Linked DNA regions of Arabidopsis thaliana. The protein of the gene in region 2 interacts with the protein of the main gene of each other region in a pairwise test. Each region holds a gene or a part of one and is shown on either strand. Other genes may lie near its edges.

Region 1 (3,757 bases), on a different chromosome or scaffold from region 2:
TTGCAGACTAGTATTACAGAAAATGAAAGAGATCAAACCTGGTCCTTATCAAGAAGTGACTGTTGCAATGTCTCAATCTTATTTTCTTTAGGCTGCAATGAGCCACGTAGTTCCTCGATAGTATCCCTGAGCCTGTGTAAAGAGAAAACTCCAGTACTCAAATTCTTAGAGGTAGCTGGAGAAGTGGGAAAGGCGACATTCATTTTATACAATTTCTGTAAAAATTATCTTCGAATTATTTACTTGTTATTGGCACTCCTTAGTTGTTGCCTCTCCGCATCCATTGCTTTAAGTGCTTCATTCGCCTGTTGCCTAGTGCGTTCCAGCTCTTGTTGCATGGATGAGTGTTGAGAAGATGCTCGTTCAGCTGTTTCATTCACTTCCCGGAAACGGGCGTCGAGATCATCTTTTTCCTGAAGATAGCAATATAATATACCACTGAGATTAAGACAGCACATAGCAGCGAAATCTATATGTCTGAAAATGCAGCATAGAAATTCCGAAATAGTATAAGATGGTTTTTGAAACTCACAGTAGCCTCAAAGTGGCTAAAACAGAAAGCATTATAAAATGTAGAGAAAGACATTCACCTTTTGGATTTCTTGAATGCGTTGTTTAGCCCTTTTGTGAAGCCTGGTGAATTTGGCGTCCAGGTCGGCATATTTCTCGTCGCGCTCTTTGATTTCCTGGTCCAGTTTCTGTTCAACTACACCAACAATGTAATAGCACAAGTTGAGAAAAGGCAAACACTGGTTCCGGTCAATGAATGAGCAAATAGAAAAGATGGCTTCTGACCTTGGGAAAACTTAGAGGAGTATTCTTGGGATTTAGCATCAGCCTCAGAGTATGCTTCCCTTAGATGCTCAAGAGCTTGCTCAGCTGCAACTCGAGTTTGTTTTTCCACATCAATTTCTCTGCTCAATGATGCGACCTGTTCTTGAAGTTGTTTCAGCTGAGCAGAGTCCGCTTCCACTTGCTCAGCTTTCTGGAGAGACCTACCTTGCGCTACCTCATCCTTGAGTCCCTCAAATTGGGATCTGAGAAAGTCATTTTCTAATCTCAGTTCAGCAATCATTTGGAGTAGCTGATCACCATTTTCTGTCAGAGTCTCGTTGGAGGCATCATTTAACTCTTTATCTTCTTTGATCACATGGCTCTCCTCTTCTTCTCCAACCACATCAGATTCCTTGTCTTCGGACATCTTGGCAGAGCAGATGTCAGAAAGATGAACCCAGACACTCAAGAGAGCGACGACAACTAGTAAGCGCAAAATCGGGATTTGAATCAACAATCAAAAGAGAAAGGAGTCAAGTCGTGAAATTCGAATAAACCAGCAAAAGCAACGCAAGGAGAAGAGAGATTTGAATGTAATCAGTGCCAGAGAAGAAGCTTACCTTGAGGTGAGGGATTAGAGAAGAGTGTGGAGGCAGAGAGAGAGAGGTCACAAACAAGGAATCACGATTTCGAAATATTGGATCGGATCTCAACCCAAAGGTTAAAAACGTCGTCGTCTCTTTCCCGTCGATCAGTGAGACGGTAAAACGTTGATCTGATCGACTGACGAAGAATGGTAAGAATTGTGTAAAGGGTGTTTTACTAATGAATAATTGCATTCAGAAGCCTTAAACCTTTTGAAAATTCATCAAGTAAACCCAAGACGAGGTTAGCTAAAATGATGCCGTTTTGGAATGGTAATATGAAAATATGAAGGACAGTCCGAAAACAGCTTAGCCCATAAAGCAGCAACTTAGGCCCATTATGTATTTGTAATATATGGCCCAATTATAATCACTTTCCCAACTAATTTATATAAAATGAAATTATTGAAGTCTTTGTCCAGTCAAATATAATAATAAGCCATTGAAAAAAATGGCGGAGGAGAGCAGAGTCCCATCATCGGTGTCGGTAACAGTCGCCCACGACCTTCTTCTAGCCGGCCACCGCTATCTAGACGTCAGGTACCGCCCCACCTTTCTCTTTTGACTATTTCAATCATCAACATAGCATCATTAGGATCTTGATGTAATGGGGATGATGAATATAGGACTCCAGAAGAGTTCAGCCAGGGACATGCCTGTGGGGCGATCAACGTGCCTTACATGAATCGAGGAGCATCAGGTATGTTTTTATTTGGTTAGTTGATAACTGAGTGATGGATATAATTTTGTGATTGTGAAACAGGGATGTCAAAGAACCCCGACTTCCTGGAACAAGTCTCCTCCCATTTCGGACAATCCGATAACATCATTGTTGGCTGCCAGAGCGGTGGTAGATCTATCAAAGCCACCACCGATCTTCTCCATGCAGTAAGCTCCACCACAAAGCTCTTCTTTCTGACTTTTACTTTGTTGGTGATATATAATTTGCGAATTTGCAGGGTTTCACGGGAGTCAAAGATATCGTCGGTGGCTATAGTGCCTGGGCCAAGAATGGCCTTCCTACAAAGGCTTGATGACTCACCATTCACCAAACATCTTTCCTTATCTCTTCGTCTCCTTCTTCTTCAATAATGCATCCTTTCCGCATGTAATCATCAATAAATGACCCTCCTTTCTCTTTGCTGTCTGATGTGATAGCTTGGAGGGAGGGGCTCATCGCATCTTTTTAAAATATATAAAAATACGAGTGTGTGTTGATTGCATCGAAATCTCTATATATATAGTTTAAAAAAAAAATCAATTAGAAAGGAGAAAGGAGCATCCGATCAACGATTATATCTACAAGATTGTTACCTTAAAGGTCCATCTGTTCTTGGCAACAGACAATATATGTGTATATATTGAGTGATCGATGAGTACACAAAGACAACAACACCATATCAACAACTCGATCGTGTGTACAAAACAAGTGGTGTGACCTAACGAGGCAAACTTCAAAATACGAGAGAAGCGACGAGAGAGGACTGAGATATTGACACGGCTCAATCAGATGAGTTAGTAAAAGAGAATCTGAGTGAACCAGGCCAATATCAGAGGGACTCTCTCGGAAACATAGTGTATCTGTTTTGTAAAAGAAACAAGAACGCAAGTGAGAGAATGTCTGTAACTGTAAGGAGATTAAGAAGAAGAAGGGAGTGAATGTGCAACTGCAATTCTGCGAAGCATTTAATAACTCTGCTACTCTCAATGCACCAAAGCTGGGCCACCTCTTTTATTTTTCTAACTTTAACCCGAAAACCAAGTGAATAAGGGAGTGTTGTGTAACCATCGTTTCAGGGGAAATCATTCACGTTTCTTTTAACTTACTGCTTAGTCTTCCACAAGTAGACATTTATGAAGGCACAACAATCCACATCTCTTCTTTCCCACTGTATGTAACCGTCCCTCTTTCGTTTTGTCTGCTTCTGCCCTCAGTTTCTTTCTCCTAAATAATCTTCTTATCGCCAATTCAATAAAAATACTATACACACTTAAAGAAATGCATTTCATTTAGTCTTCTTCCATTTACATTTACACATTCCCTCAGGTTATTCATACATCTTTCATTTACTTTGAATACATCCTGCGATCCCATCAATCTAAGAGCTTCCTCTCAGGTACATGCGGTACCATCAATCTATGAGCTTCTTATATTTCTCTCTCCATACCCTTGAAATCCACCACATTATATCTACATCCATTTCCTTTCTTAGCTCCTATTCTTTCACTACTCATAGCTCTCAGGAGTTTCTACACCCTTATTATATACAACAGAGCTGCAACCAAAACAAGTTAATTATCAATGTCACTTCATTAATGCATCTCAATTATCACCAACA
Region 2 (3,757 bases):
TCTAAACACCCAAAGCATGCAGAAGAGAATTTTTTTTTTACCTATCCTTTAAAAGCTCCATCGTTTTCTGGTTTTCCTCAGCCAGATTTCGTTGCTTGATCTCAACAACTTCTTTGATTTTTTCTTCCATCTGAATCCAAATATAACAACTCGATATCACTGCTAATCTTCGACAGTTATTCGTTACAAGATCACAAAATAGCATCTCTATATAAATCATGCTTATGGCTCAGTGTATAAATTTGCATTTGACCTCCTAGAATAGACTGAAAAATAATCAAGGAAGCTGTGCTTTACATTCATTTAGTTTTATCCCTATATCAATTAGAAGAAGAGGTTAAAAGCAAGCTGACCTGTTGCTCAAGCTGGCGGTTCCGTTCTTCAAGCCTTCTTATTGTGGCCTGCTGATTTTTAAGATGAGTCGCTTCTGTCCTAAACTCCTCAAGTTCAACTTTCATCTTTCGATTTTCAGATTCCACTTCAGATAATTTACGATCTTGCTCCTGGAATACAGCAATTAGTTGGTTCTCAGGCTAAAGGACTTTAGGTGTCTATTATGTTAACATTAGATAAGTGGATAATTACAGCAATAGAAGCAAGAGCAGGAAACGGATCAGGTGCTTCATAGAGTTTCTGATAGATATTTAGGAAAGCATTCTCCCCAAACTTGGCCCTCTTGGTAATATTATCTACTTCTTCTTGATATCCCTTGAGGAGGGAATTAAACATACTAAGTTTGTTCTCAGGCGAAGCTTTCTTGAAGTCTGTTGTTACCAAGATAAACCAAAGAATATGTTAACATCTCTTCGCTGGAACCTATCGAGGTCCCTCAGGAGAAAATGTTGAAGTGTTAAGCAATATAAAAGGTGAAACAAAAAAGTACCTCGTGTGCTCTCTGCAAGCTTTCGGCGATTCTTTTGGCTGTTTTCTTGATTTTCAGCTATTCTAAGCCCTTGCTCGTCAAGCAGGCTTTTCTCCTTCTCCAAATCAAATTCTGCAACAAGTAGTTTAAAGACAAGTAAATGGATCATTCGGGAAGAGCTTTCTTCTATGATGATGTCTATCAAAACAGCGAGCAACCACAGAACCAGTTCTCTAATTGAAACTGGTTTCGTATAACAAATACAAAAGCCGGAGAATCGAGATGAAACTAGTTATCAGTACTGAAAAATGTGTTGATAACTTTTAAAGCAATAAACTGAAATTTCTCAATCCGATCACATTAAACTACCAATGCAATCTCCCCGAACATTCAGTGAGAATCTCATTAAGTCTTACTACTTAAACGGAATCCTAACAAACGAATTTCTCCTAACTACAAAAACAAGCTCATCCTCAGCTTCACTACGAGTCGAAGAAAACGAATAGATAGCTAGACATAATCTGAAACAAACCTTTCCAGAAATTGGTGACGACAGGAATGGGAGAGGAAGAAGAAGAAGAAGAGGAAGGAGGAGGAGTTTTATCTCTTTCCGATCCATCTTGCGAAACCTCCATTGTACTCGTATTCGGATCCCGATCTCGTTTCTCCGAAGAACACAAGCAATACTTCGATACGAAGAAAGTTTCTGGGAAGTGATTTCTTCTTCGAATCCGACGAATGAATTAATGAGTTTTCTTATTGTTGTTTTGTTGAATTTTTACTACTCCGATCGGATCTTCTGAGTTCAGATACATTAGAGTTTAATGGTGGTAGAAGCGTAATTCTTATTTATTTTTTTGTTATGAGTGTGATCCTAAACAGGCTTCAAAAACGTAAGGTCCAAAAGATATAGAATAACCAATGGGCTATTCCTTGCGCCATTCATAGGCCCAGTATTGATTTAGTAGAATAAATTCATGTTTATTGCACATCTAAGTTGAAAACATTTGTCAAATTTTGTTATGACTATTATTAATTAATAAAATTTTAAGTTTAAATTCTAATTTATTTCACTGGTTAGAAAATTTTAAAAGTTTATTTTTTTTCCTTCAGTTCTTTTCTTTGTAATTTGTTAGTATTAAGTAATATTACTTTACTAATAAAACCAGAATATTACATTAGATATATTTTTCAAAATTTTATTTTAAAGTTTGCAAGTTTGATTCCTTATATAGAGGAATAATGTTTGAACATATTATCTCTTATCTACAAATAATTTTAATAGAAATTTTATGAATAGAAAAATGTTGAATTTAATATTTTAAAATTTAGCATAGCCTGTTTTATTTTACTTTCGCATTTTTAGGATGTATATTTCTTTTTTATTCATAATTTCTTTAATTTTCTTAGTCATTAAATTAAATTCTTTGTATCTTGTATATATGTGTGGATTAAACCAATCCCAAAAACGCGTTTACATATTACTTTTAAGTAGCTTAAAATCTCTCACAATCAGTAAAATCTCTCACCTTCCTTAAACAAAAATCAATTTTCAAAAAACCTTCCTCCTTTTAACAAAAAGTGCAACGTACTAGTTTTAAAAGTCTTTTACTCTTTTTTACAACTTTTATGATTTTTCCCAAAGTGCAATGTACTAAAAATTAAACATTTGTAGATCTCTCGAAGCGATCCACCATCAACCATATATATACCCACCCACCCTCCATTCTTAAAGCATCTAACAACAAAAATCTATCTTCAAAACCCTAATTAATTGATTTACGATCTCGCTTATCAAAAGATCGATCAACACAAAACTGGTTAAAACCTGACGCAAGATTTGGTTGAAGCTACTTTACAATGGAAAAGCAATGGACTTCTGGTCTTTTCAGCTGCATGGAAGACAGTGAAACTGGTAGAAATTCTATATAAATTTAATCAAGTTGTCCTTTAATCTTTATACATATATAGATCTATTGTCAGGATTGTATAATGATTTGTTCCTTTTGGTTTGTGCTGGATAAGCTTGCCTCACATGTTTCTGCCCATGCGTCACTTTCGGACGGATCGCGGACATTTCCGACGAAGGAAGGACCGGTAAGCCATACATTCACATATGTCATATCTAAACAATGTGTGTGTGTGTGAATTCACGTAACGTCGTATATATAATGTACGTAGGTTGTGGGAGATGTGGGGTATTTTACGGGCTAATATGTTGTGTGGTCGGCTTACCTTGCTTGTTCTCATGCACTTACCGGACCAAGATCCGAAGCAAATTCGGGTTACCGGAGTCTCCAACTTCGGATTGCGTCACTCACTTCTTTTGTGAATGTTGTGCTCTTTGCCAAGAACACCGTGAACTCAAAACCCGTGGTCTTGACCCCTCTATTGGTAAATTGCATTGTTTTGTGGACTCACTTTCTATTGAAATAATTAGTGTCTTTCATACGTTTGATTAATTATTTGATGTAACTTTATTATTTTTATGTGATAGGGTGGAGTGGAAATATGCAACGGACGATGGCTCCTCCTATGAGTCAGCAGATGATGGGTTGATTAAGAAGATTTCTGATTTGCAATATGATTTGAATTAAATAAGTGGTTCACGAAAACAGCACTTTTAAGTGTAGTTTTATATTGAGCTAGCATATTATTTTAAATTCTTTTTCAGATTTTATCAATATTGTTTATTTTGATATGTGAAAATAAAAGAATTGGAAGATCGTATTTTTTCATCCAAGAGGGCTTATTTTTTCCCTTATTCGATATATTTGGTGTCTGGCTTTGGTACAAAAATAATCTGTACCTAAAAACGTCAACTAATTGCACAAGTCAAGGTCATTCGAGTTCTGAGTTTTGACCAAGCAAATTAAACAATACCCATTAGTGCAT

The links. The genes of interacting proteins can lie anywhere in the genome.
Region 1: the proteins of CASP (region 2) and ATGRIP come close enough for resonance energy transfer, tested with the Arabidopsis thaliana proteins (one study listed by BioGRID).

What each region holds. Positions count from the first base shown.
Region 1 is NC_003076.8:26,408,688-26,412,444, forward strand, and holds the start of ATGRIP (Golgi-localized GRIP domain-containing protein), read right to left. Parts: upstream 1,669-3,757; 5' UTR 1,395-1,668; intron 1,258-1,394; 5' UTR 1,202-1,257; coding exon 796-1,201; intron 707-795; coding exon 591-706; intron 414-590; coding exon 244-413; intron 133-243; coding exon 39-132; intron 1-38. Other genes in the region: STR16 (sulfurtransferase protein 16), read left to right, coding at 1,870-1,958, 2,045-2,118, 2,182-2,306, 2,378-2,452; AT5G66050 (Wound-responsive family protein), read right to left, coding at 3,646-3,694. UniProt on the Arabidopsis thaliana protein: Golgi matrix protein playing a role in tethering of vesicles to Golgi membranes and in maintaining the overall structure of the Golgi apparatus.
Region 2 is NC_003074.8:6,334,664-6,338,420, reverse strand, and holds the start of CASP (CCAAT-displacement protein alternatively spliced product), read right to left. Parts: upstream 1,730-3,757; 5' UTR 1,498-1,729; coding exon 1,395-1,497; intron 995-1,394; coding exon 884-994; intron 765-883; coding exon 586-764; intron 504-585; coding exon 354-503; intron 131-353; coding exon 42-130; intron 1-41. Other genes in the region: AT3G18470 (PLAC8 family protein), read left to right, coding at 2,723-2,777, 2,888-2,959, 3,044-3,256, 3,360-3,421. UniProt on the Arabidopsis thaliana protein: May be involved in intra-Golgi transport.